2 linked regions of the Anolis sagrei genome follow. The protein of the gene in region 1 purifies or fractionates together with the protein of each later gene. This does not show direct contact. Links are inferred from orthologs where the notes say so. Each region holds a gene or a part of one and is shown in the gene's direction. Other genes may lie near its edges.

Region 1 (11,419 bases):
AGGAGGGAGGGAGGGAAGGAAGGAAAGAGGGAGGGAAAGAAGGAAGGAGGGAGGGAAAGAAGGAGGGAGGGAAAGAAGGAGGGAGGGAAGGAAGGAAGGAGGGAGGGAAGGAAGGAGGGAAAGAAGGAAGGAAGGAGGGAAAGGGAAGGAAGGAGGGAAGGAAAGAAGGAGGGAAAGAGGGAAGGGCGGAGGGAAGGAAGGAAGGAAGGAAGGAAGGAAGGAAGGAAGGAAGGAAGGAAAGGAAAAGGAGGGAAGGAATGAAAGGAAAGCAAGCAAGAAAGGAAGGAGGAAAAAGGAGGGAGGGAAGAATAGATGGATGAAAGGAAGGACATATATCCTATATTAGCCCTCCAAATCACCCCAAAGAGCTATGGGGTTATTTTCCCCCATGTCTTGGGGTCCCATGGGCCATTGTAGACCCCAAAAAGGCCAAACATGAGCAACATCAGAAGTGCCTCTGACTTCCTTACTGTTCGGAGGAGGAAAGGCTCTGTCTAAAAGCATGGCGAGAATGCCCTCCAGCGTTTGGGTGCAAAACCAATTTTGTAAAATGGGATACAGCCCTCCCTCGTCTTCCCTGTGGGGCTGATGCAAGAAATGGCTCCCAATATATGCAAATGGAAATTGGATGGAGAGAGAGAGAGAGAGAGATTAACCTTTGTGGGATCTTTCATCCCAATGATGCATTCGATCACCCCGTAGCATGACTAGTGTTTGGTGGGGGACACGGAGAGGTTGCATGTGTCATTTGGGGTTTTGCAAGTACATAATATGTTGTTTGTGTATATATATATGTATGTGTGTGTTTTGGAAAAAATCCTATTCTTCCAGCCTTCCTCTTAAAAGAGCACTTAATCTATAGCTATAAGGGGGTGGGGCATCCCTATAGATCTGTTGGTCCCAAACGTAGCCCTCCTTTATGGGCCTTTTGCGTTTTCCTTTGCCTTACATAGCCCATCTGTAAATGCATATGGTAGGGGCCATTAAATGCTGCTTACGTACTGGATAGATAAGATAGATAGATAGATAGATAGATAGATAGATAGATAGATAGATAGATAGATAGATAGATAGAGATGGGTAGGATGGATGGATGGATAGGTAGGAGGGAAGGAAGGAAGGAAGGAAGGAAGGAAGGAAGGAAGGAAGGTAAATAGATAGAATGGACACCTGGATTGGATGGATGGAAGGAAGGAAAGATGGGTGGGTGGATGGATGGATAGATAGATAGATAGATAGATAGATAGATAGATGATAGATAGATAGATAGATAGATAGATAGATAGATAGATAGATAGATAGAGATGGGTAGGATGAATTGATAGGAAGGAAGGTAGGTAGGTAAATAGATAGAATGGACACCTGTATTGGGTGAATGGATGGAAGGAAAGATGGATGGATGGATGGATAGATAGATAGATAGATAGATAGCATAGATGGATGGATGGATAGATAGGATGGATAGATGGATGGATGGATAGGTGAATAGGATGGATATGACAGATGGATAGCTAGAGTGGGTAGGGTGGATAGCTGGCTGGATAGATGGATCAATGGATAGGATGGATGGATGGATGGATGGAAAGAGAGAGAGAGATAAATAGATAGGGATAGATAGATGGGTAGGATGGATGGATAGGTAGGAAGAAAGGTAGGTAGATAAATAGATAGGATGGACACCTGGATTGGATGAAAAGATGGATGGATGGATGGATGGATGGATGGATGGATGGATGGATGGAAAGATGGGTGGGTGGGTGGGTGTGTGGATGGATAGATAGATAGATAGATAGATAGAGTGAGTGAGTGAGTGGGTGAATGGCTGGATAGATGGATCGATGAATAGGATGGATAGATAGAGTGGATAGGGTGGATGGCTGGCTGTAGAGATGGATCAATGGATAGGATGGATGGATGGTTGGATAGATGGGTGGTTGGATAGATAAATAGAATGGATAGATGGATGGATAGGATGAGTAGATATGATAGGGTGGATGGATGGTTGGATAGATTGATCGATGGATATGATAGGTGGATGGATGGATGGATAGATAGATAGATAGATAGATAGATAGATAGATAGATCCAAGGCTGCATCCTCAGGCATAGAAACGGTACATTAAAAATTGATGCTGGAACCTAGGAATGTAATATCTCTCCCTCTCCATCTCTGTATATCATGTTTGCAAGTTTCCCCCTGTTTACCTTCTTGTTTTTGAGTGCCTGTGTATATATATATATCTCATTCAGGGGAAATATAGTTCCTCTGGTGCTGTATAGACATTCCATGGGGAAGTTTTCATGCTGCTGTTAGAGTTTTTTTTCATTTGGTACGTTGTTTATAAGCTTTAGTCCAAGAGCCTTAAGCAAAGGAGGCACAAGTGGTTTAAAGCAGCAATAATAATAATGATAATAATAATAATAATAATAATGCAACATTTTTGTATTTTTTTTCATGAGCTTTAGCTTAGGAGCCATAAGAAAAGGAAGCACAAGCTGTTTAACACTTATTATTATTACTATTATTATTATTATTATTACTATTATTATTATTAGTCATTTCATATGTTTTCATTCAGGAACCATAAGAGAAGGATGCTAATAATAATAATAATAATAATAATGACTATTATTAGACATTTCATAAGTTTTCGTTCAGGAGCCGTAAGAGAAGGACATCAGAAGACGCTTCCTTCTTGGGAGGAGAGCAATGTCCAGTCTCGATAAAATAGTGAAGAGTAGAGACATCAGACTGGCAACAAAGATCCGCCTAGTCAAAGCCATGGTATTCCCTGTAGTCACCTACGGATGTGAGAGCTGGACCTTAGGGAAGGCTGAGCGAAGGAAGATAGATGCTTTTGAACTGTGGTGTTGGAGGAAAGTTCTGAGAGTGCCTTGGACTGCGAGAAGATCCAACCAGTCCATCCTCCAGGAAATAAAGCCCGACTGCTCACTGGAGGGAAAGATACTAGAGACAAAGTTGAAGTACTTTGGTCACATCATGAGGAGACAGGAAAGCCTAGAGAAGACAATTATGCTGGGGAAAGTGGAAGGCAAAAGGAAGAGGGGCCGACCAAGGGCAAGATGGATGGATGGCATCCTTGAAGTGACTGGACTGACCTTGAGGGAGCTGGGGGTGGTGACGGCCGACAGGGAGCTCTGGCGTGGGCTGGTCCATGAGGTCACGAAGAGTCGGAGACGACTGAACGAATGAACAACAACAACAACAACAAGAGAAGGACACTAATAATAATAATAATAATAATAATACTCAGTTCTTGTGGGTTTTTTCGGGCTATATGGCCATGTTCTAGAGGCATTTCTCCTGACGTTTCGCCTGTATCTATGGCAAGCTTCCTCAGAGGTGAGGTTATAATAATAATAATAATAATAATAATAACGAAAGCTTATGAAATGACTAATTATTATTATTATTACTAACGTCCTTCTCTTATGGCTCCTGAAAGAAAGCTTATGAAATGACTAATAATAGTCATTATTATTATTATTATGACTATTATTAGTAATTTCATAAGCTTTCTTTCAGGAGCCGTAAGAGAAGGACACTAATAATAATAATAACAATGAAAGCTTATGAAATGACTAATAATAATAATAGTTATTATTATTATTATTATTAGTGTCCTTCGTTTACAGCTCCTGAAAGAAAGCTTATGAAATGATTAATAATAATAATAATAATAATAATAATTATTATTATTATCAATAATGTCCTTCTCTTATGGCTCCTGAAAGAAAGCTTGTGAAATGACTAAGAGTAATTATTATTATTATTACTATTATTAGTCATTTCATATGCTTTCTTTCAGGAGCCAACAATAATAATAATAATAATAATAATAATAATAATAATGCGTCCTTTTCTTGCGGCTCCTGAAATAAGGTTTATGAAATGACTAATAATAGTCATTATTATTATTATTATGACTATTATTAGTCATTTCATAAGCTTTGGTACAGGAGCCGTAAGACAAGGACGCTAATAATAATATTAATAATAATAATGACTATTATTAGTCATTTCATAAGCTTTCGTTCAGGAGCTGTAAGAGAAGGACGCTAATAATAATAATAGTAATAATAATAATAATAATAATTATTATTATTACTATTATTAGTCATTTCATAAGCTTTGGTTCAGGAGCCGTAAGATAAGGACACTTATTATTATTATTATTATTATTATTATTATTATTATTATGACTATTATTAGTCATTTCATAAGCTTTCGTTCAGGAGTTGTAAGAGAAGGATGCTAATAATAATAATAATAATAATAATGACTATTATTAGTCATCTCATAAGCTTTCTTTCAGGAGCTGTCAGAGAAGGAGTCTAATAATAATAATAATAATAATAATAATAATAATAATGATAAAGCAACAACAGTAAAAGCATAAGAATAAAATAAATATGGCATACATTTGCTTGTGGTTACGAAATTAGATAAATACTGCTCTCAGGTGCAATTGTAAATAGGCTGGAAATGGGATGGAAATAATAATGTTCTTGGCTTTCTATTTTAGTTGCATATCTTTGGCTTGTTCTCAGCTTTGACAAATACATTATTGCTGGATTTGGTTTTCAAAATGTTCTTTATGGGATAGATTGCTGTATATATATATATAGCTTGTTCCCAATGTTTACCTTTGCACAGCACTTAGGATGGGAACTGTGTGCTGATTTTTACACGTTTCTTGTGGCATGACGCACACGAGTAAAAACCCAGGTATCTTCTCCACAACCCATAATATAATTTTATATGGCAGGAGCTCCATTTCAGCCTCTATTAAAGATTTCAGTATTTTAAGAACTCCCAATGGTGCTCTCTTTGTTTCTTGTCTCTGAGTAGCCATTAAAAAAAATCATTTTTTGGGAACAAATGACTACCTGGCGCCCTGTGCAGCCCTTCTTCCATTGGGCTTACGTGAGTTTTCCGGGCTGTATGGACATGTTCCTGAAGCATTCTCTCCTGACGTTTCTCCCCCATCTATGGCAGGTTGAGGGGTCTGTGGGATAATGTCCAGGATGGGAGAAAGAACTCTTCTCTGTTGGAGGCAAGTGGGAATGCTGCAAGTGGCCAGCTTGATTAGCATCGAATGGCCTTGCAGCTTCAAAGCCTGGCTGCTTCCTGCAAGGGGGCATCCTTTGTTGGGAGGTGGGTGGGAGAAAGAACTCTTGTCTGTTAGAGGCAAGTAATGTTGCCAGCATCGAATGGTCTTGCAGTTTCAAAGCCTGACTGCTTCCTGCAAGGGGGAATCCTTAGTTGGGAGGTGGGTGGGAGAAAGAACTCTTTGTCTATTGGAGGCAAACGTGAATGTTGCCAGCATCGAATGGCCTTGCAGTTTCAAAGCCTGGCTGCTTCCTGCCTGAGGGAATCCTTAGTTGGGAGGTGGTTGGGAGAAAGAACTCTTGTCCATTGGAGACAAGTGTGAATGTTGTCAGCACTGAGTGGCCTTGCAGCTTCAAAGCCTGGCTGCTTCCTGCCTGGGAGACTCCTTAGTTGGGAGGTGGGTGAGAGAAAGAACTCTTGTCTATTAGAGGCAAGTGTGAAAGTTGCAAGTGGCGTCCTTGATTAGCATCGAATGGCCTTGCAGCTCCAAAGCCTGGCTGCTTCCTGCCGGGGGAATCCTTTCTTTGGAGGTGGGTGGGAGAAAGAACTCTTGTCTGAGGCAAGTGGCCACCGTGAGTAGCATCAAATGGCCTTGCACCTTCAAAGCCTGGCTGCTTCCTGCAAGGGGAAATCCTTTGTTGGGAGGTGGGTGGGAGAAAGAACTCTTGTCTGTCTGAGATAAGTGTGAATGTTGCAAGTGGCCACCTTGATTAGCATCGAATGGCCTTGCACCTTCAAAGCCTGGCTGCTTCCAGCCTGGGGGTATCCTTTGTTGGGAGGTGGGTGGGAGGAAGAACTCTTGTCTGTCTGAGATAAGTGTGAATGTTGCAAGTGGCCACCGTGATTAGCATCGAATGGCCTTGCACCTTCAAAGCCTGGCTGCTTCTTGCGAGGGGGGAATCCTTTGTTGGAAGGTGGAAGGAAGAAAGAACTCTGAGGATGCTTGCCATAGATGCAGGCGAAACGTCAGCAGAAATGCCTCTAGAACATGGCTCTATAGCCCGAAAAAACCCACAAGAACCTAAAGAACTCTTTGTCTGTTGGAGGCAAGCGTGAATGTTGCCAGCATCGAATGGCCTTGCAGCTTCAAAGCCTGGCTGCCGGGGGGAATCCTTTGTTGGGAGGTGTTAGCTGGCCCTGATTGTTTCCTGTCTGGAATCCCCCTGTTTTTTAAGTGTTGCTCTTTATTTACTGTCCTAATTTGAAGAAGTTTTTTTTCAAATACTGGTAGCCAGAAAGAAAGAAAAGGAAGGGAAAGATATATGTGGGAAGGCAAAGAAAGAAGGCTGCTGATTAGTTGAATAGCAACCCTAGTACTAACACTTCCGCCCTCTCTCAAAATGGCGGCGACGGTGTGCGTAGGTGTTTTTGCGCATGCGCACCTTTACTTTGCCTCCTCTTTCCTTTTAGTCGACGACGATCCTGCTTTCCTCGCCCTCCTTGTTCCTCAAAACACACAATAAACCGAGTGATTCATTTCATTCCTTTCCCCTTTTTGACAAAAAGAGTCGACGCGGGTTTTATTTTGCCAGGACACAAGATGGCCGACGGTGTTGACATTCCTCTGGCCCTCAGAAGAGCCACTTCCGGTCTAAAACGGAAGTTGCCCTGAAATGGACAGAAAAAGGGTGTATTGGGCCCAAGATGCTGCTTCGCCCTCACTTAGCGTCACTTCCGTCCTGGAACGGAAGTAGCCTTGCGTAGCGCTCTCCCGCCTCGGCGCCGGGGAGTGTGGCATCCAAGATGGCGGCGGGGCCCATCTCTGAGCGGAACCAAGGTAAAGGCAGGGAGGAGGAGGCCTGTTTGAGAAGGCCCAACAGCCCCAATGGCCTCCGAACGTCCCTCAAAGGAAGGAGAGAGGGGAATATTAGGGTCTGGAGAGTCTCTTCTCTGGTTTAGGCGCCAATAATGGCGGCTAGGCCAAACTGGGAAGGGGAAGCTCCAGCATTTCTGGCCTCCCTTTCCATTTCCAGCCAGGGTTTGTAGCTCTGTTGCACAAGGGCCCGCTCCAGCAGGAATTAAGCAACGAATTAACGAATCAGTGGGTTGTTGTAGGTTAGAAACAACATCATACGAAAGCTGACTGGCACAACCTGGGGATCACAACCAGACACAGTGAAGACATCTATCTGCCCTTGCGCTATGCTACTCTGCTGCTGAGTATGCATGCCCAGTGTGGAACACATCTCACCACGCTCAAACAGTGGATGTGGCTCTTAATGAGACATGCCGCATTATCACGGGATGTCTGCGCCCCACACCACTGGAGAAATTACACTGCTTAGCCTGTATTGCACCACCTGACATCCGCCGGGGAGTAGCAGCCAATAGTGAAAGGACCAAGGCAGAGACATCTCCAGCCCATCCTCTGTTTGGGTATCAGCCAGCACGTCAACGACTTAAATCAAGACATAGTTTTCTAAGATCTACAGAGACACTCGCTGGAACACCCCAGCAAGCGAGAGTCCAAAAGTGTCAGGCTCAAACCCAGCACCTCCATCCATGGGTGATACCAGATGAGAGACTCCCCCCGGGCACTCAGAAGACTGGGCGACTTGGAAGGCGCTGCACAGACTGTGCTCTGGCACCACGAGATGCTGAGCCAGTCTTAAGAAATGGGGCCCATTTTACCTGTCCGAACGGCCCAGTTTATCTGTCCGAACGTATTCTCCCCTATGAACCATCTAGGTTGTTAAGATTGTCTGGAGGGGCCCTGCTCTCAGTCCCACTGGCCTCTCAGGCATGTCTGGTGGGGATGAGGGACAGGGCCTTCTCGGTGGTGGTCCCTCGACTCTGGAACTCTCTCCCACTGGAGATCGGAACTGCCCCCTCCATTCTGTCGTTCAGAAAACAGGTGAAAACCTGGCTATGGGGTTTGGCTTTCGACGAGTGAATCAGTATTTCTGTGATTGGATAGATGACGATGAATGATGGACAACGAGTTCACTATGACGACTGACCATTGTTATTATGTGATTGCATTTTGCTGTTATAACGTTTTAATTGAATATGTTATATGATGTTTTTAATGATTGTTTTGTGATTTTATTGTTGGAAACTGGCCCGAGTCCCCCGATAGAGGGGAGAAGACCGGTATACAAAATTGCTAAATAAATAAATAGTCTGCTGGAGCTAGGTGGGAATGCAGTAATAATTTATTTGTTGTGTCAGGGCAACCAGTCAATTATATTACATTTTTAACAGAACAAAGCAAACAAACAGACAAAATACAACATTTGTGAGTTTGGTGGTTGATTAAATGTCTTTTGACCAGTATCTGGCCACTTGGAGTGCTTCTGGTGTTGCCGCAAGAAGGTCCTCCATTGTGCATGTGGCTGGGCTCAGGTTGCATTGCAGCAGGTGGTCAGTGGTTTGCTCTTCTCCACACTCGCATGTCGTGGATTCCACTTTGTAACCCCATTTCTTATGGTTGGCTCTGCATCTCGAAGTGCGGTCTGTTTGGTGCCTTCCAAGTCGCCCAGTTTTCTGTGTGCCCAGGGGGGGGGGGGGGGCTCTCTCATTTGGTATCAGCCATGGATTGAGGTTCTGGGTTTGAGCCAGCCAAAGTGTGGAACACATTTCACCACACTAAAACAGTGGATGTGGCACTTAATGAGACATGCCAAATTATTACGGGGTGTCTGAGCCCTACACCACTGGAGAAATTACACTGTCTAGCCGGTATTGCACCACCTGACATCCGCCAGGAAGTAGCAGCCAAGTGAAAGGACCAAGGCAGAGACATCTCCAGCACATCCCCTGTTTAGATATCAGCCAGCACGTCAACGACTTAAATCAAGACATAGTTTTCTGGGATCTACAGAGACACTCACTGGAACACCCCAGCAAGCGAGAGTTCAAAAGTGGCAGGCTCAAACCCAGAACCTCAATCAATGGCTGAGGGAAAGTAACGGCGCCCCATGCAATCATGCCGGCCACATGGCCCAGGAGGTGTTTACGGACAATGCAGGCTCTTTGGCTTAAAAATGGGAGATGAGCACCACCCCCAGAGCCAGAGTTGAAGGGGAATCCTTTATCTTTATCCGTGTGTCTGTATTTCATTGTTTCAAGGCATTGAATGTTTCCCTGTGTCAGTACATGCTGGAATCCGTCCTGAGTCCCTCGGGGAGATGGAGCGGAATACAAATAAAGAGTTGTTATATTATTATTATTAGCCAAGAATTCTGGGAGTTGGAGGCCCAAACAGCTGGAGGACTGTGGTTTAGGGATGCCTGATCTAGAACTAGACTTTTAATTGATGCAGCCTAGGATCACATCAAAGTCAGCTTTAGGTTCAAATGTAACATCAGCAAACAAGATTCATGAAGGCATTTGAGACTATAACTATTGTCCCTCTCTTATCTGCTGCAGATGCCACTGTGTATGTTGGCGGCCTGGATGAAAAAGTCAGCGAACCCCTCCTGTGGGAACTCTTCCTCCAAGCAGGACCAGTGGTTAACACTCACATGCCCAAAGACAGAGTCACGGGCCAACATCAAGGTAAGCAATTCCAGCACCTTTTCTCAATGTGCTGTGTTATGAATGGAGTAAATCCACCAGCTCTTAGACGTTAAGCAGGGGCAGGCCTGGTGAGTACTTGGATTGAAGGCTACCAAGAAATCTCAAGTTCTGTAGCTGTATTTCAAAGGTAAAATCACCTCTGTGTATTCCTTGCCCAGGAAAACCCTCTGAAATTCATGGGGTCGTCACAAGTCGTCAAGGCACATACACAAACAAGATCCTTTTACTTCAAATCTTGAAGACTAGACTTCCAGAGCATGGGAAAATAAGGCTCCTTTTAGGACTGACACTGCCAGGATCCCCTAGTCAGCTATGCTATGACAGTTGGGGGATTTTGGGACTGGTAATCCATAAAGAGGAGCCCCCGGTGGCGCAGTGGGTTAAAGCACTGAGCTGCTGAGCTTGTTGATCGAAAGGTCGCAGGTTCGATCCCAGGGAGCGGCGTGAGCTTCCGCTGTCAGCTCTAGCTTCTGCCAACCTAGCAGTTCGAAAACATGCAAATGTGAGTAGATCAATAGGTACCACTCTGGCGGGAAGGTAACGGCGCTCCATGCAGTCATGCCGGCCACATGACCTTGGAGGTGTCTACAGACAACGCTGGCTCTTCGGCTTAGAAATGGAGATGAGCACCACACCCCAGAGTCAGACATGACTGGACTTAATGTCAGGGGACTACCTTTACCTAATCCATAAAGAGGATCTTTCCCAAACACAGAATGACTTATTATTATTACTAATATTAGTGTAAATGCACCCAAGTGTCTTTTAATTCTACAGTAGTGAATAGAGGGATAACCTTAAGCAGTGACAAAATATAATATTTCTTTAAAAAGAAGGTTTTTACAACCAAGTTAGGATTTGCTGTGGTTTTAACTATAAATAAGTTTTTAAATCGGTTTTAAGGGTTTTAGCTCATTATTTTTAATATTGTTAATATTTAATTATATTTTACTGCTTGTATATTTTTAGGTTTTAAATTTTATTGTTGGTTTTACTATAAACTACTTTGAAGTCTTTCTTTTTAGAGAAAAAAGCAGGTTTAAATAAAAATACTAAAAAATAATAAGATAAGATGTGATCAGCGCAACGCTTGGCTTTGCCTCCCTTTCCAGGCTATGGCTTTGTGGAGTTCCTCAGCGAGGAGGACGCGGACTACGCCATCAAGATCATGAACATGATCAAGCTCTATGGGAAGCCCATCCGGGTCAACAAGGCCTCGGCCCACAACAAGAACCTGGACGTGGGGGCCAACATCTTCATTGGCAACCTGGACCCCGAGATCGACGAGAAGCTCCTGTACGACACCTTCAGCGCCTTTGGGGTCATCCTGCAGACCCCCAAGATCATGCGGGACCCCGACACGGGCAATTCCAAGGGTTACGCCTTCATCAACTTCGCCAGCTTTGACGCCTCCGATGCCGCCATTGAGGCCATGAACGGGCAGTACCTTTGCAACCGCCCCATCACCGTCTCTTATGCCTTCAAGAAGGACTCCAAGGGTGAAAGGCATGGCTCAGCCGCCGAGCGTCTCCTGGCTGCCCAGAACCCACTTTCTCAAGCTGACCGGCCTCATCAGCTCTTTGCAGATGCTCCTCCCCCTCCATCCGTGCCAACCCCAGTTGTTACCACCTTGGGGCCTGGCGTCACCCCACCAGGTATTATTATTATTATAATTTGCTGTTGTTGTTGTTAACTTTATTTATTTCCAGCATTTCTTCCCGCCTACCTTTGTGACCGTATCTCTCTCCATGAACCAGCCTGAAC
Region 2 (11,484 bases), on another chromosome or scaffold:
TTGCTTTGTTAGCCTTTGGTAGTTAACTGCATTGAGAGATTCATTAAATGTTTACCAAACAGAATCTATGTAATGCAAAAAGAGAAGATCTGTCATTGCAACAATACTTTTTTTTCCTAGAGTGTACAGTATATGAATTCCACACAAGTCTTTTGGCAGCTTCTGTTCATTCTGTGCCAATAGATGGAGCGACTCTTGTGCTCTGAGCTTGGTGATATAGTCTTGGGAAATAGAGATTTTTCAAGGAGGGGAAAAAGTGATGCAACATACCTTGACATTTTGTCTTTTCTCCTCCCTCCCTTCCTCCCCCCTTCCCTCCCTCCTTCCCCAAACCCACCCAGAGGCAAGTGCAAAAACGTGTGACGGTGTACAGTGTGCCTTTGAAGAACTGGTTGAAAAAATCATCCAGACGCCTGGACTGTGGGAAAGCGAGAGCCAAAACAGAGGCGTAAAGTTATCAAACGACGAAGAGGGCCATAGAGGCGCTTGTGGCGGCTATTGTTCGGTGTTATAAACTCTGGAAGACTCGTCCTTTTGTGTATTTAAATGGATAGTGATGTCCTCTGTACATAAACTCATACCTGCTATTCTAGGGACCTTGCAGTTTGCACATAACTTGTGTATCGAGGCAGTCGTCATTTTCTTTATTAAGGAAATGGCATTCTGCAGCTTTTCCAGTTCAGAAGTGTTAATGGTAAGCATGACTTGTGTATCGAGGCAGTCGTCATTTTCTTTATTAAGGAAATGGCATTCTGCAGCTTTTCCAGTTCAGAAGTGTTAATGGTAAGCATGACTAATTTGCAACATCTTCGTTCTTTTTGTATGTAGCATAAGGTGATGTGTCGCAGGAGCAAATGTGTTCAGATATCCTAATCTTATCATGATTTTTTTTCCTGAAGCCTATTACACAAACACGTTGGCTGCACTCTGCCCGATTGTAGTCTTTAATTCAGATTCTGCTGCACTATTTGAGAGACACGATGCTCAATGTGTGAGGATTCATCTTTGATTAACAAATTCTAGCATGGCTAGGTTAAACCCTTTTTTAGGTTAATGAACTACACCATTTCTGGGTTATGACCCATCCCAGCACAACTCTATGTTTTTTGGAAGAGGTGCTTCTAAAGCTGGCATGGGAAAACTTTGGCTTGGCATGTGTTTTGGACTTCAACTCCCACAATTCCTGGCCTCAGGCCCCTTCCTTTTCCCCCTCAGCCGCTTAAGCGGCTGAGGGGGAAAAGGAAGGGGCCTGAGGCCATGAATTGTGGGAGTTGAAGTCCAAAACACATGCCAAGCCAAAATTTGTCCATACCTGTTCTAAAGTAATTGGAGGAGGTGAGATACTTTTTTTAAACAGTCACTTCATTGAATAGATCGTCAAACATTTTAACCCTGGAATTTCGAATGGCAGTCTTGCACCATGGCTTTTAAAGCATCCTTTTGGACCTTCAAGATAAATCTTGTCGGGTATGGGCTTAACAGAGGTCCCATTGTGAATCACTTCTCCTGGCTTTGATGAATGCTTCTAAATGTTGTTGATTTGGTGTCGGTCGCCCAGGACTGTTGCTACTTGGTAGGCGAAGGCCCCGAATTGGGTGACAATGCTATGTGGCTCTTTTATTAGTTTTTTGGAAGCATAAGTGTTAAAACTGTCTTCCGGGTGCGTCTCTAAGGCATGTGCTTATTTTGTTTCGGTTTGCTGTAACGAACAATGGAAGCCTTGATTGTTTTCAGGGAACTTGCATAGTCTGGATTTTTTTTTCCCCTCCACAGTATTCGATTTTCTAACACCTTCCTTGTGTACAGGTGAATTTTGTAAATCACAATTCAAGGACTCTTGGAGTGATGATCCTGTAACACTAACGACTTCAAATACTACAGAGTACTGATTTGTCTAACAATACGAGCTACTGTGCAATTTCCTGTAAATATATAGCCTGAAATATCTTTATAATATTTCTTTTTTGTACACCTCGGTACTCCTCATATTATCATTGGTCTTCTGCAAATACGTTGACATTTACCACTTGGATGCACTTCACTTAAAATCTTGCTTTTTTCAGTTTTTACACTTGTTAGAAAACTTTACTAAACTGTTGAGAACTGTTCAATAACCAAACCTTGTTAAGTAAAATAACTAACTGTTCACACTCAATGCTATCCAACAGATTTTAGGAATGAATTCTAAATTTCATTTACAGCATATTTGCTAAAACAGGTTATTGAAGGGTGCCAGAGCTGGGCCATCCATGGAGGTACAACAGAATCAAATTTTATTGGAGAGAAATGTGTTTTTAACATTGGAATAAAGATTGTGAAGCAGGAACATCTGCCAGTTTTTCTTATCTCAACTGGTTATCTTTTGTGTGCTGTGTCTTTGTTCTCAGACAAAGGCTGGATGGCCATCTGTCAGGGGTGATTTGAATGCAATATTCCTGCTTCTTGGCAGGGGGTTGGACTGGATGGCCCATGAGGTCTCTTCCAACTCTTTGATTCTATGATTCTATGATTCAGACATTGCTGAGTCCCACTTACTTTGTGTCAACATTAAAACTTTGATCTGGAGAATTTTTCAAATGAAGTTTATCAGCAAGGAGACCAAAATCTTTTCCAAAGAATTGTTCCCCCTTTTGAAGAGATGAAGCATGCTTTTCTTGATTAAGATGAAAGAAAATTCCTTACGAACTGAAATCTCCCTCTAGATAGGTCTGTTCCAAATGAATAACTTTCAAAGCACAGTTAAATCCTTGTTCAGCAAACTAGGACTTCGTGGGTTTGAGGAGATTTGGTCCTTCTGAATTATTTAGTCCTCTTTATTGCTTCTTAAAGCAATGGTATTCCCCGTAGCAACCTATGGATGTAAGAGCTTGGACCATAAGGAAAGCTGAGCGAAGGAAGATAGACACTTTTGAACTGTGGTGTTGGAGGAAAATTCCGACAGTGCCTTGGACCACAAGAAGATCAAACCAGTCCATACTCCAGGAAATAATGCCTGACTGCTCACTGGAGGGAAGGATATTAGAGGCAAAGATGAAGTACTTTGAGCTCTGCGAGTGCAGCATTTTTCCAAATCAAGCAGAGAGTGTTTGAGGACCGGGGCATCCATAGGTGCTTGTTTATAAAGCTATTGTCCTCCCAACCCTGCTATACACCTGCAAGACGTGGACTATCTACAGACGTCACATGCAACTCCTAGAAGTACTTTGGCGACATCATGAGTAGATGGAATATTTTTGGAAGAGATCATGATGCTGGGGAAAATGGAAGGAAAAATGAAGAGGGGCCGACCAGAGGCAAGATGGATGGATAATAATTTTATTTTTATACCCCGCCTCCATCTCCCCGAAGGGACTCGGGGTGGCTTACAAGCGACATGGCCAGCAAATACAGATTAAAAACGAACACAAAAATACAGTCAATGTCTAAAAACAATGAAATAATATAATCAGATAAACATCATAAACCAATATTGTGGCTGACAACAATAGTGAGTTCAGGCTCAGGATTCCTAAAAGCTATTATTATTAGAAAATGTTGACAATTTCCGCTACCTTGGCAGCCACCTCTCCACAAAAGTCAACATTGACACTGATATACAACACCGCCTGAGCTCTGCGAGTGCAGCATTTTTCCAAATCAAGCAGAGAATGTTTGAGGACTGGGACATCTGTAGGGATACCAAGGTGCTTGTTTATAAAGCTATTGTCCTCCCAACCCTGCTATACACCTGTGAGACGTGGACTGTCTACAGACGTCACATGCAACTAGAACAATTCCATCAGTACTGCCTCCAAAAAATCCAGCAAATCTCTTGGGAAGACAGGAGGACAAATGTCAGCATGCTGAAAGTAGCAAAGACCACCAGCACGGAAGCGATGGTCCTCCACCAACAACTCCGCTGGACTGGCCGCTATCTGATCTCCTTCAGGAGCCCAGGGGGCACCACAGAGAAGACCCTTTCCCTCGTCCCCACCAACCGTGTTTGCTACAGAGGTGGAAGCGAGAGAAGAGCCTCCCCAAATGATCTTGGGGTATGTGCTGGTTCATAGGGGAAGATGCGATCATGAAGATAGGCAGGCCCTGAACCATTTAGAACTTTATAATGGGACCGGAAACTTATTGGCAGCAAATGGAGCTGTTTAAACGGGGGTTGACCACTCCCTGTAACTGTAATGATATCCTTGAAGTGACTGGCTTGACCTTGAAGGAACTGACCAAGGGGGAGCTTTGGTGTGGGCTGGTCCATGAGGTCACGAAGAGTCGGAGGCGACTGAATGAATAAACAACAACAAAGTCCTTCTTAAAATATAACAACTGGGACCAGTAGGATTTAGTTTGGTTGCAACTAACATTCCTCAAAGCTTTCAGTAGATATGACTAACTATGAATAAGTCTGGGTCTGTTCCTTTCCCCTTGGTCTTTATCTCACACTGCATTGGTTCTACAGATGCATTAATTGCCCTTAAACAACCTCCCCCCGCCCATGCGACTAAATATATCAGAGCTTAAATCAGCCTTTGACAATACCTTAAATCAGAGATTTTCAAACTTATCTGGCTTGTTACTCCCTTTTCAGAAAAAAAATAGTGCCCCATTGGAAATCTACCTTCTTTAAATGAACAAAGAGAACAATGTAGTGACAAATTTGCATTATTTTATATATTTGTAACTCCACTTACAATCTACAACATGGTACAGAAAGACAAATAGGAAACCTTGAAATTATAAAATCATGTATTAAAATGACCCACATTAACATTTGTAGTACACACAGAAAATTATGACAACGAAGGATATTAAAATGAAAATTATGAATAATATTTAAAATAATCCTAAATGAGGACGATGAACCTAGTGCTCTAATATTAACTTATTAATGTGTAGATCTATTTTTTTGTCAGCAGCATAGATTAATTTTTTAAAATACTTAGTCCATTTGAACCATTATTAACAGTTTGTCACACAATTCAGAAACAATCTAAATTAGATTTTATACATATCTATAGTATCAAGTTTGACATCAAGCCAGCTTCAATTTAGGATAATCTTATGAGACTTTTAAAGAGCCATGCTCAGAAATAGATCTATATCTACACAGGTAGTCCTTCACACTTGCAGATTTTGTTAATAAGGTCTAGAAATCTCTGTCTTTCAGTGCAAGTGAAAGCTAACTGCAGAGCTCCAAAATCCCTAGATGTTCTCTCAAATAAAAAATAACACTTTTCTATTTATTTATAGCTTTTTTTCACTTTTAGGGTTTTGATCCCCTAACCCTAGCAACTAGATGGCTAACTGTAGTATTGAAAGCTTGAAACAGCAAGAAGCTCAGATACTTATAACTTTCAAGATGTTATCCATCATCAAATCATGGCAGTGAACCAGATATATACAGTATTAGGGCTAATATAACCAATATATGTACCATTTGGAACCACTATATTACACCTAATATAAATAATATGCATAATAGTTGGAGCCACTACACTAGATCTAAAATAAATTGATTATATACATAATAGAGGAAATCACTACATTAGATCTAATAGAAAAATATACATAGTAATTGGAACCACTATACTAGATCTTATAAACAACATGCTTAGTAATAGGAACTACTATATTAAATCTAATATAAACAAGATACATAATAATGGGAACTACTATATTAGATCTATAGTAAATAATATGCATAATAGTGGGAATCACTACAGTAGATCTAATATAAATAATATACATAGTAATAGGAAGTACTATATTAGATGTAATATAAACATACATAGTAATGGGAACTATTATATTAGTTCTAATATAAACAAGATACATAGTAATGGGAACTATTATATTAGATCTAATAGAAATAATATACATAGTAATTGGAACCACTATATTAGATCTCATAATATAAACAACATGCTTAGTAATAGGAACTACTATATTAGATCTAAAATAAATAATATGCATAATAGTAGGAATCACTATATTAGATCTAATATAAATAATATAGTAATAGGAAGTAGTATATTAGATGTAATATAAACATACATAGTAATGGGAACTACTATATTAGATCTAAAATAAATAATATGCACAATATTGGGAATCACTACATTAGATCTAATATAAATAATTACATAGTAATAGGAAATACTATATTAGATGTAATATATACATAGTAATGGCAACTACTATATTCTAATATAAACAAGAAACATAGTAATGGGAACTACTATATTAGATCTAATATAAATATACATAGTAATGGAAGCTACTATATCAGATCTAATATAAACAATATACATAGTAATAAAGAATACTATATTAGGACTACATATAAATGGAGTACAATATCAAAGTATTTCCTGAGTTGCAGTTGCAGCTATGCGCCTTTAGGTGTCAGTGGAGAATCTTCCCCTATTCCCTTTGCTGCGTAGTTAGAGTAAACACTAACTTAGCCTTTTTGCCAGTTTACGGAACTGGCGTAGGTCTTACCTTCAGCGTGTGAAGCCTGTAGCCCAGCTCCGCCTCCTGCGCTACGAAGTTTACGCAGCCGCTGCGTCCCGCCGTTGAGACGCTCAGAGGCACGCCAAGGCGCTCTCGGGGAAGGACGCTGATTGGTTCTTTCCCTCCGTGACGCGGGAGCTTCTCCTACCCCCACAGAGGAGGCGTTTCCTTCGGCTTCGGGCCTTACTCGAGGCCCCGGCTTTGAGGCCTTGTGTGCGGAAGGGTAAGAAAAAACTGGAGGCCATTAGATTTCATTGTATACATGGGATAATATTATTTTGGAGTATTTTGGAGTTCTGGATAAGGGGTACTTGCCAGGGAGGAAGCTAGGGCCTTATTACAGCCATAAAGCCTCAAGGCCTGGGCCAACTTGGGCCCTCCAGGTGTTTTGGACTTCAACTCCCACAATTCCTAACAGCCTGCCGGCTGTTAGGAATTGTGGGAGTTGAAGTCCAAAACACCTGGAGGGCCCAAGTTGGCCCAGGCCTATTTTAAGTGATGCTGTGATTATTCTCCCTTGCCTTTTCCCTTCCTAGCTCTGAAGCAGAACCAAAATGTCGCTCTACGATGACTTGGGAGTGGAGACCAGCGATTCCAAGACAGAAGGCTGGTCCAAAAACTTCAAACTCCTGCAGTCTCAGCTGCAAGTGAAGAAGGCGGCACTCACCCAAGCAAAGGTAAGGATAAAAAGTCTGGTAGAAGCGACACCTGTCACTGATTGCTGAGGTAGCTGCCTTTAACTAAGCACAATGTTAATGTAGCAGTTATTATTATTAATATTTTGTTCAGTCAGTATCAACAAAATTGGGGTGTTGTAGGTTTCTCGGGCTATATGGCCATGTTCTAGAAGCATTTTCTCCTGACATTTCGCCTGCATCTATTTATTTATTTAAAACTGGTTTTGACCTACAAAACGCTTTACGGCTCCGGCCCAGCGTACATGTCCGAACGTATCTCCTTCTACGTTGATATTCAAGCAGTGCTCTTTCTAGGTCAGAACATAGTCCAGGATAACTCCCAGGTATTTTGGTGTGCTGCAGTGCTCCAGTGGGGGTTTCTTCCCAAGCAGTAATAATAATCTTTATTTATATCCCACTTTTATCTCTAACGGGACCCAAAGCAGCTCACAACATAATACAAATCAAATCACATTTAACATAAAATACAAGACAAAAACCACACAAAGCATAATAATGTCCAGAAATAAGACAGAAATAAATACTAAGCATTAAAAACATTTTATACCATTTATTTATTTATTTACGACATTTGTAGCCTGCCTTTCTCAACCATACGGCGACTCAAGGCGGGTTACAGATTACAATTATTGCGGAGACTCATCAATTAAAAGGTATATTTTGCTCAGCTCAGTGCAAATTAACCTTGCTATCATTAACAATTGAATTCATTCATCAAAAACCTGCTTGAACAGGTAGGTCTTCAAATGGTTCTTGAAAGATGACAGGGAGGAGGTAGTTTTAATCTCAAGGGGGAGGGAGTTCCAAAGAGCCAGGGCGGCTACTAAGAAGGCTCTCTCTCGTTGCCACCAACCATATTTGTGAGGGCGGTAATGAGAGAAGGATCTCTCTGGAAGATCTTAATGCTGTGGTTCTCAACCTGGGGTCCCCAGATGTTTTTGACCTTCAACTCCCAGAAATCCTAACAGCTGGTAAACTGGCTGGGATTTCTGGGAGTTGTGGGCCAAAAACATCTGGGTACCCACAGGTTGAGAACCACTGTCTTAATGGTCAGGCAGGTTGGTAAGAGGTGATGCGGTCAGATAGGTAATAATAATAAAATATAAAAACTATTTATATTTCACCCTGTCTTAATAATAATAATAACACTTTATTTGTACCCCGCTCCCATCTCCCCAAGGGACTCGGTGCGGCTTACATGAGACCAAGCCCGCAATACATCAAAAAATAAAACATCAATAAACAATCAATACACATAAACAAAATAGACAATAAGCAATCAACAGTAACATATAAGCATTTAAAACCAAAGGCCGGGCCAAATGTGATAGATTAAAATTAAAAAATAATGCTGATGTGAACAAGGTAGGATATAATTGGGATAGGATTTTCAGAGAGAATGCGGGAACGCAATCAATCCTAAAGCAGTAGTAAAGTGCATTTTGAGGACATAATGCTTCCCAGATGGACTCAGGGCAGATTCGAAACATAAAAGGTAAACATTCAGTGCCCGAACACAACAACAACACACCCATGATAACAAAATTTGGCAACTCAACATATAAAAACAAATTATGCCTTAATAATTAAAATTAAATAAAAACACAACCTATTAGATCGGACATTAGACAAAACATCAAACAGAAGCATCAATTTCCCAGTTCCATGGGGGCAAATAGATTGATCATTGCTCAAGATGTCTATTGAGCTGGTGGTGGGGTAAGTTGGGCCTCAAACATTTAGGGCTTTAAAGGTCAAAACCAGCACCTTGAATCGGGCTCGGAAACTTATTGGCAGCCAGTGTAGGTGCTGTAATGGTGGTGGTATGCTCCCTGGGTCCAGCACCTGTCAACCTGACTGCAGGTCTCTGAACTAGTTGGAGTTTCTGGGAACTTTTCAAGGGCAGCCCCACATAGTCTAAATGGGATGTAACTAAGATGCGGACCACCATAGCCAAGTCCAGTTTCTCAGGATACATTTGCAGCTGTCGCACAAGTTTTAATTGTGCAAAGACCCTCCTGGCCACAGCCAATACCTGGGCCTCCAGGCTTAGCAATGAGTCCAGGAGAGCCCCCAGACTTAAGACCTGTGTTTTCAGGGGGAGTGTGACCCCATCCAGCACAGGTTGCCACCCCATACCCCAATCTGCCTTACAACTGACCAGGCTTGGAGAATTATTAGCTCAAATTCAGTTTTCATCAGTGAAATGGAATGTTTAATGTCTTGTCGAAGGCTTTCATGGCTGGAATCACTGGCTTGTTTTGTGTTTTCTGGGCTCTATGGTCGTGTTCCAGAAGCATTCTCTCCTGACGTTTTGCCTGCATCTATGGCAGGCATCCTCAGAGGTTTGTTCAGAGGTCTGTGGGAATGAGGCAAGTGGATTGTATTTATATTTGTCAAATAATGTTCAGAGTGGGAGAAAGAATCCGTGTCTGTTTGAAGCAAGTGTGACTATTGCAATTAGCCAGCTTGATTAGCATACATCCTGAAAAACCCATAGCAACTCAGTGATTCTGGCCATGAAAGCTTTTGAGAACACACACAACAACATGTCCGTGTTATAACTTCTGAGCCTTAGATTTCTATTAAACATACTTATTTTTCTTTTTCTTTTTTCCCCTGGCCTACTCTTTCTTAAATAAATATTATGTTGCCACTGGCATAGATGTTGAGTTCATACTGTATTCACTCAAACTTTGTAATTAAGGGAATAATTGCAAAACCATTTTTTGAATGATAAGCATTTTTTTTCAAGCCAAGCTTAGTGGCCTGAGGGGAATAACCCCACAGATCAATGAAAAGTCTATAAAATAAAATCTCAAAGATACGATTAGTTGTCTGTGTATAATATCTTTAATGTTTTTGTGGGTGTTTAGAGCCAAAGGACAAAGCAAACCACAGTTCTTGCTCCTGTCATTGACCTGAAACGAGGCAGTACTTCTGATGAGCGACAGATCGTAGACACCCCTCCACACGTGGCACCTGGCCTGAAGGTAAGGATGTAGTTTTTAGAGGTAAGCCAGGCTTTATAAGGAAAAGGGGGCTTTTAAGATTACAGGTGGTTCTTTGATGGATCACTTTGTAGCAGAATCACCTCTCACTTTCCTCCCATCAGGAGGAAACACTCTTCTCTGCCTCCCACTTGGCAAGGAGACTCCATTGAGAGAGATGATAGAAAGGGCGTTCATAGTAGCTACATCACTAGTAGCTGCATCACTCCTATGGATCAATTTGCCCTCCTCTTAGATTTTTATTTATGCCAGAAGCAAATTGAGAATATAATTATAATGTATTAAAAATCACAAACAAAGTTAAAATCATGGCATTGGATTAAATGTCCTTTAAGCCAATGGAGTGCCTGTGGTGTTGCTGTGAGAAGGTCCTCCATTGTGCATGGGGCGGGGCCCAGGCTGCATTGTAGTAAATGGTCTGTGGTTTGCTCTTCTCCACACTCCATACCTTGTAGCCCCATTTCTTAAGGTTGGCTTTGCATCTCGTGGTGCCAGAGCGCAGTCTGTTCAGTGACTTTCAAGCTATCCAGTCTTCTGTGTGGCCAGGAGAGACTGTCTTATCCAGTCTCAGTCATTGATTAAGGTTCTGGGTTTTAACCTGCCACTTTTGGACTCTCGCTTGCTGAGGTGTTCCTGCGAGTATCTCTGTAGATCTTAGGAAGCTGTTTCTTGATTTAAGATGTTGGTGTGCTGGCTGATATCCGAACAGAGCAGAGATATCACTCCCTTGGTCCTTTCATTATTGGTTTTTACTTCCCGACGGATGTCAGGTTGTGCAATACCAGCTAAACAATATAATTTCTCCAGTGGTGTTGAGCATAGACATCCTGTGATAATACAGCATGACTCATTAAGAGCCACATCCACTGTTTTAATGTGGTGAAATGTGTTGCACACTGGGCACAACAGCAGAATAGCAAAGCTCAAGAGAAGATGTCTTCACTATGTCTGGTTGTGATCCCCAGGTTGTGCCACTCAGGTTTCATATGATATTATTTCTAGTACCCATGTTTTGCTTGACAATCAAGGAGTCCTTTTATATTACTTTTATTCATTATTGAAGCTCTAGACTGCTGTCCAAATTTGACGGGTTCACTTTTGTTTGATTAATATGGTCTCTGTTTTATCTCTTCTGGGAATGTAAGTCCAAAACGATTAGCAATCCAGAGGTTCCCCATCTTTGTTCTTGGTGATATGCTTTCCTAAACTTTAAACAAATGTATAGGTAAGATTCAGTGGCTTGAAATGAATGCAGGAGCAAACTGAAAAGAACT

The links.
Region 2: the proteins of SF3B4 (region 1) and RBM17 purify together in Homo sapiens (affinity purification with mass spectrometry; 4 studies listed by BioGRID and IntAct, with this or other methods). This does not show direct contact. The link is inferred for Anolis sagrei from reciprocal best matches to the Homo sapiens genes SF3B4 and RBM17.

The regions. Positions count from the first base shown.
Region 1 is NC_090032.1:5,533,989-5,545,407, reverse strand, and holds the start of SF3B4 (splicing factor 3B subunit 4), read left to right. Parts: upstream 1-6,809; 5' UTR 6,810-6,877; coding exon 6,878-6,911; intron 6,912-9,505; coding exon 9,506-9,634; intron 9,635-10,767; coding exon 10,768-11,310; intron 11,311-11,419. UniProt on the Homo sapiens protein: Component of the 17S U2 SnRNP complex of the spliceosome, a large ribonucleoprotein complex that removes introns from transcribed pre-mRNAs.
Region 2 is NC_090025.1:190,045,477-190,056,960, reverse strand, and holds the start of RBM17 (splicing factor 45), read left to right. Parts: upstream 1-6,559; 5' UTR 6,560-6,724; intron 6,725-7,037; 5' UTR 7,038-7,055; coding exon 7,056-7,178; intron 7,179-10,075; coding exon 10,076-10,192; intron 10,193-11,484. Other genes in the region: RAB18 (ras-related protein Rab-18), read left to right, coding at 342-514. UniProt on the Homo sapiens protein: Splice factor that binds to the single-stranded 3'AG at the exon/intron border and promotes its utilization in the second catalytic step. Involved in the regulation of alternative splicing and the utilization of cryptic splice sites.